2 linked regions of the Schizosaccharomyces pombe genome follow. The gene in region 2 interacts genetically with the main gene of each other region. Each region holds a gene or a part of one and is shown on either strand. Other genes may lie near its edges.

The links. A genetic interaction does not mean that the proteins touch.
Region 1: mutations in sod1 (region 2) and atg20 together harm fitness less than expected from each alone (positive genetic interaction), as found in Schizosaccharomyces pombe (one large-scale study listed by BioGRID).

Annotation. Positions count from the first base shown.
Region 1 is NC_003421.2:881,372-885,133, reverse strand, and holds the start of atg20 (sorting nexin Atg20), read right to left. Parts: upstream 1,763-3,762; 5' UTR 1,743-1,762; coding exon 1,599-1,742; intron 1,541-1,598; coding exon 1,432-1,540; intron 1,313-1,431; coding exon 1-1,312. Other genes in the region: ubiquinone-binding protein Coq10, read right to left, coding at 3,474-3,762. UniProt on the Schizosaccharomyces pombe protein: Required for cytoplasm to vacuole transport (Cvt), pexophagy and mitophagy. Also involved in endoplasmic reticulum-specific autophagic process and is essential for the survival of cells subjected to severe ER stress.
Region 2 is NC_003424.3:1,002,275-1,005,445, reverse strand, and holds sod1 (superoxide dismutase Sod1), read left to right. Parts: upstream 1-1,845; 5' UTR 1,846-1,982; coding exon 1,983-2,447; 3' UTR 2,448-2,608; downstream 2,609-3,171. UniProt on the Schizosaccharomyces pombe protein: Destroys radicals which are normally produced within the cells and which are toxic to biological systems.

The DNA of each region.
Region 1 (3,762 bases), on a different chromosome or scaffold from region 2:
CGCAACCATCGTTGTAAATTTGTTTGTGCCCATTTGTAGATACATTCATGAACAGATTTAATTATTTCTTCCCACTGCGACGTCTGACATTCTTTGTAGAATTTAAGCTCTGCATCCATGAATTCGTCAATTTTTTGACAATCCCAATTTGCAGCCGCTAGTTGATTCTCTATGGTATTCTTATGCTGCTGGAGACTTTCTTTGCTAATGGAGGTTTCACCTTCTACAAAGTCATGTAAAACGTTTTGTAAGCGACCAAAAATTGTGTAACCCTTTTTGGCTTGGGAGACAACTGCTCGTTGAATAGTATTCAATCTGGTCGCCGGGTGTATCGTGGGTGAAGCAGCTACCATAGAGTCGGTAGCAGACATTGTGTTAGAGTGGATGAGCTGGTCTTGAAGAAAATCTCGCTGTTGTATCTTCAATTGCTTATACTTAAGAGCATCTGCGGCACACTTCGCCAGCTGCATAGACTGAACCATTTTTTCATAGACGGAGGAATTAAATTCTTGTTCGAATTCCTTGGCGTACATTCCGCTGAATTCAAAGGCATTAGCAATCACTTGCAAATGATTTGCTAATTGTATTTCATTGAGAGCAGTCAAAGAGTGAAATGCCGATCCTAACTTTGAAAGGCAAGACTCCATTTTAGAAATACTAGATAAAGTTGAATGTATGGAAGGACTCAGACTATGATGAAGGAATTTCCGACAAACAATCACTTCTTGAGTATAGGAAGTCAAATCTTTGAGTACTGGAGAGGGTGCGTCTTTACCATTAGAAATGCTGGAACGACGCTGTGTGGGAGATAACTCCGAAGGTGAGCTATTGTAATGTGGAAAGTCTGGTGCCGTTGGGGTAGAAGGACTTTCATTCAATTCATGCGTAGGTTGCATATCGCTTGTTGGGGGATGACATTCATCCTCAGAGCCCAAAGGAGAAGAAGGTTCTAAACTCGAAGCAGTTGAAGGATTAGATAAGGAATGGATTGGCTTTAATGCGCGAGACGAAGGGGGACTTAATGAGTTGGCCATTACAAGTGGCATGGAAGAGCGCAAATGAGCGAATGGGTCATGCTCAGTAGCAATAGGAGGAAGGCGGAGTGGATCAGTATTTGAATCCTTTGGTAAATCTAAAGATGATAAAGTCACGTGCCAAGAAACAGTGCTATGAATAAACTTATCGAAAATAGGATTGGAACGAATGCATGGATGCAAAAGACACTGACGAAGAAACAATTCTAGCATCCTGGAGCGAAAATTTAAGAATTCAGCATCACTTTTAGCTTTTCGTGGATGTTTGGCATAACTTACTAAACAGCGGAGCATGTGTGTACAATGAATTGCACACAGCCCATGTTAATAAACGTTTGAAAAGAAAATGAAAAAACGCGATGAAAGATATTATATCTAAATATATTGGAAAACTTACAAAGTGATTGTTTTCCCGGTATAGGAGGAACAATTGCAGCGGGATACTGCCGACGCATCAACTTAACCAAGGACTCAAAATCCGAATATCTCCGCCAAACGGAACGCTTCTACAGTATAAAAATTAGCAGCTAAACTCATAGATACCAAGGATCTCAAGCCACATACCTGGTGTACAATTTCATACTCAACATACGAACCGTCCGAGGAAGTTACTGTACCGACGATCTGGATTTCAGTTGAATAACCACTTCCTCCCGAGTCGCTGGATATAACTTCAGGTTTCTCTTCGTAAGAATCGTCTTGTGCCATACTTCTTTAATCGATTTAATGGAGAAAGAAATGTAGCTAGTTCGTCATATAAGTCATGGCTTTGCAGACTGGATTGTATTTCGTTGTAATATGATAGAGATCGCAAATCAATATACTTATAACTACGTTATACTGTATATGAGAATGGATTAGATAGCGTTATACTGAATGCATTGTAAAATGGGTTTCCATAAGGTCAAAGAAACAATCAGAACTTTAAAATGACAGGGGAAACCTATGTATATAAAATACGAGATTTCGAAAAAAAAATAGATTTTGGTTTACGTGGAGAATTTCTTAGTACTATCACAGTAAACAAGTAATGCAGTTGTAGAGGAGATTTCTTTTTAAGGTTATGATAGCGGACAGTGATTATATTATCCAGTATATATTTCGAAACATCTTATCAAATCACTATAGTTTAATACCGATGGCTGTTGTAGCTATCGTTAACTGGATTCGTTTGGTTATATCGTGCGATGTAAACAATGCGGTATAAATAAGAGGTATATTATAATAAAACTTGTTTTCATCCTCGAAATGAACTAAATTAATAATTTATTTTCAATGATAAAAATTATTCTAATTTCACTATATAAAAATGCTCATGGATAATTTCCACAACTTCTAATGGACCTATGGAATGGTGATGCTATAGTTTATTTCACGAAAAAACAGCTAGAACTTTTAAGGCTCCATTCAGCAACTTTATATACTAAGTAAATCCTTATAAGTTAAAAGCGATAAAAGGATTTTACATAAAAACACTTTGCTTCATTTATTTACTGGAGAAATACTTCCCGTTAATGCAAATCGGCAAACACCGTATTTGCATATTGCACAGTTTAATAGAGCACGATATTAAAATGTTGGTAAACACAAGATTGTTTTTCATAAAATTCGTTTCTGTAGCTATAATGGAAATCATGTCATGTTTATCATCGAAAGAAAAGTCGACTATAAAGGTGCTCCGGGTATTTCATGAATTGTCTTACTTAAATGATTTTGCTTTCCCTAGATATATCTCAGTAGACCAAATTTGATAGACTTTTTAACAACGATCATCATAGATCACTTTTTCTTTCCTTCAGGGATTCTTTACTTTTAAATAACACTTGTGATTGTTCTGGATGCATTTTGAATGCAAATCTTCATGAAGCATTCCATAACCAATTTCACCTTCTATTCAAAAGCAAGGAAGGATAATTTTGTAAACAGTTGACCTTCAAGGACTCCTGATCTCTGGTTATCAACTTTAGAGGCAAAGCTCATCCGCAATATTTCAGCACTAAATAGAAAGAGAGACACCCCTATAATTATATATATTTGGTTATCAGTGACTCAAGAAAAGGAAGGCATATTCAAGACATATTGTTAAAACAAAAAAAAAAATACAGTTTCGTCAAAGTAAAGTTTCTTTAAGAAATGAGAATTCCTCCTAAGCTCTTGATTTAATAGTAGAGAAATAATTTACCAAGTTTTTTGTTGTGCATCAAAAAAATTGCAGTAAAGCAAACTATACCATGATATTGGCGAGTATCCAAAAAAATGAAATAAAATAAATACATAAGGTGAAGAGAAGGATCCAAAATTTAGCTTACTGAAGCCATGATTTCCTAAAAGAAACCTTTTATAAAAATATATCCTTCTTTGGTTGAAAGAGAGACGATGGAAAAACGCTGAGATGGAAAGAATAGCGGCATAGCCCCTTTGTATGCAGGATCATTGTAATTATTTCTCATTTTCTGATTCTAGCTTATGCTTTATTTTAGCCTGTTGGACGAATCCTTGAATGATTTCAGAAGCTACAGAAGATCCAACAAACTTGCTCATCATGCCATGGAGTTTGCTTGCAAATTCAAAATCCACCTCTAAATCAACACGAACACGTCCCCGAGATGCCTCTTCAATACTCCAATGTGTTTTAAGCCGCCGGAACAGACGATGATGGGACGCGTCTGCCAACACGGTTAGGGCAACAGGATCACAAACCACCTTACTATCAAAAGTTTCACACAAT
Region 2 (3,171 bases):
TTAAGGCTCTGTAGCTATGCTTGATTGTACAGCAGTGAATCACATCAAGGTTTTTCCATACACTAACAGAAAATTCTTGACTACCTCTCCAAAGTCAAGTTGTACAAATCATGAGCATAAATCGCACACATTCTACTCATCAATCCCATTGCCAAGAGTTAAAGTATTTTGAGGATATGCGTTATTAAGTGTATCGTGTAAGCTACGCAGTTTGGTATCTGATTTAAGGATACGAAGAACTGCGGTGAGTTTTCCTTGTGGTCTATTATATTACAATACACAGGTTGTATAAGTAGCAACTGAGTATAGGTATTGTATTAACTGGGCTATAATGTTACCTATCACTAATATAGCTCATAACTGAACTGAGGAACGAGGTTCAGTTGTAACGCTATTTATAATATTTCTAAATAGTTGTTATCAACGGGTATCTATGTATATAGACGGATAGTTACCCGTGATTATCAATAAACGGATCTTAGCTAGTATTCCAACATATGACATATAGTGATACGCAACGTAGTGTATCATAGCGTAGTGTAGTATTGCTGACATATCGTAATGTACCCAATTACGGTAGAATGATTAAGAGAATTGTATTTAGGAATATACCGCCTTTAGTATTATGCGAAACGCTATTTTTTGTAATGAGCCATTTCTTTCGCGCACTAGCAAAATAGTCTCATATTGCTACTTCACGAATAGCAAAAATAAGTCATATAAAATAAGTAGCTCAAGGTAATTACTGTTTTCGGCATAATACTTTATACATCTTGGCAAATTTCTTATATAAACAGCGTCCCCCTCAGAGAACTTTTTCTGTTTTCTACCAAAATAATATGTAGGTAGATCGATGGATAGAAGCGATTAACGTATTTGCAAAACAGATCATCAGGATTTTTTTTAACTCCAAAATAACCATAGTGTCACTCGCTTCCTAGTACAAAGCATTACTATGGTTATGTTATTTTATTTTTTAAAAGCTCAATGATATTATCAGCAGTTGTACTTGCGATTCTTTCTCAAAAATGCATACTGAGAGGTTTGTTCATTATGGGAAAATTATGAGTTCACGAATATTTCTTTCTAGAGCGAATTTTATTATCCTCCTCACGTCGATTGAAGCTTCATAACAATTTGACTGTTACAAGCGATTGCTCCTAACAACTTCCGTGAACGAACGGGCTTTGCAAGTCTACCGACCGGCCTTAGGCTCTTCACACCTAGACTCAAAACGCTAATCTATATACATGTAGGACTTTTATTCTGCGAACTCTAGTGGGATTTACTGAACCAAATGGGGGTTTGATATTTTAGCTAGTCTATGCATTTGAATCTCTATGCAATGTTTGTCTACTCAAGTTTCCCTTTCTTTGAAGATCTTTACCCCCATTAGCGACCTTACTTCAACGTGGTCATTCTTACCTTACGCTAAATGTTTTAACGTCTACGAAAACGAGAACGACGATTGCTATTACCGCAACTTTAGATATCGTTATTTATTCTTCGAGTGGCGCGTTATCATCTTTAGCGGAATTTCAATTCCGCGAAGGAGCACGTAATATGATTACGAATACTGGTGGAGTAAGCCAACGCCAAGCTGAGGTGATGCTCGGCGTAGCTTATTGGCCTATTTTGGAGGCTCGAAGGCACGGACTAGACAATGCTTTGTAAAGCAAATTTGTTAAATCGATAAGTATAAAGACAATTTCTTCGTTTTTAGAATATAAAAAAACATTGGTCATATCGAAAAATTGATTTGAGTTGATATCGTTAAAATTTCATGTATATTCCGCGTGGAGCTATTTACTATATAAGCGATGACACGCCGCCCTATCCTCTTCCAATTCCAAACAAAATTTTCGAAATCTCCAACTTTGAAGTGTGGTTAAAATCTTATTGATTTTCCTTCAAAACACTTAATTACTCAAAACACCCCTTCTCTTGTTGTATTTTTTTAAAGTAAATTATCGTCATACAAAATGGTTAGAGCTGTAGCAGTTCTTCGTGGTGACTCTAAGGTCAGTGGTGTCGTTACTTTTGAACAAGTCGATCAAAACTCTCAAGTTTCTGTGATTGTGGATCTCGTTGGCAATGACGCTAATGCCAAGCGTGGTTTCCATATTCACCAATTCGGTGATAATACCAACGGTTGTACCTCTGCTGGTCCTCACTTTAACCCAGAGGGTAAGACTCACGGTGACCGTACCGCCGCTGTTCGTCACGTTGGTGATCTTGGTAACTTGGAAAGCGATGCTCAGGGCAACATCAAGACTACTTTCTCTGATTCTGTTATCTCATTGTTTGGTGCCAACAGCATCATTGGCCGTACCATTGTCATTCATGCCGGTGAGGATGATCTTGGTAAGGGTACTAGTGAAGAGTCTTTGAAGACTGGTAACGCTGGTGCACGTAACGCTTGTGGTGTCATTGGTATTGCCGTCTAAATTTATTGAGTTTTTACGTCTTTTTGTTCAAATGGCTGTGGGTTTAGGTGTTGGTTAGTATTGTTATCATTTAGTTGAGTGATCTCAAATTTCTTTTTTTTTATGAAAAGTTCCGTATATTATGCTTCTATAGGTTCTGTATTAAAAAACTTAATTTAATTGATGATGATAAGTACTGTAGCTTTGTGGAAGCTGTTTGTTACTATTATGTTATATGTGTAAAAAAATGTAGTGATGTATTTTTGTCCTTAAGACTCTGCGTTCGAGTTTACATAAAATTCAGTTAATTAGAAGGAATTGTTGTAACTTTGTTTCGGTATTGATAATGAAGAAGCAAAAGCAGCAACAATTTTTGATCTTTTAGTCAGAAAACTTTGTTTTGCATCGTTGAGTTCGTGCATAAAGATGATAGAAAGTGCTTTTCGTATTGTTTAAAAAAAGATATATAGAATGTTGATTAATAGATACACACATAGTAGCAATATCAACACATCTTGTTAAAATTCTAATGGGTGAAGCCTTTTTTTTTATTAATCATAATACCATCGTTTCATCTTTGTTGATTTTGTTATTACTTTTACGTATCAATGAATTTTTACGAACTAATTTCAACTAAACAATAACGACAGGCAAGTTTGTGTAAACTGAAAACATCTGCACAAGTTGTATTTTAAAATAAATTTTATTCTATAAGTCTAAAGGTTCACATCCAGTGTGAACAATT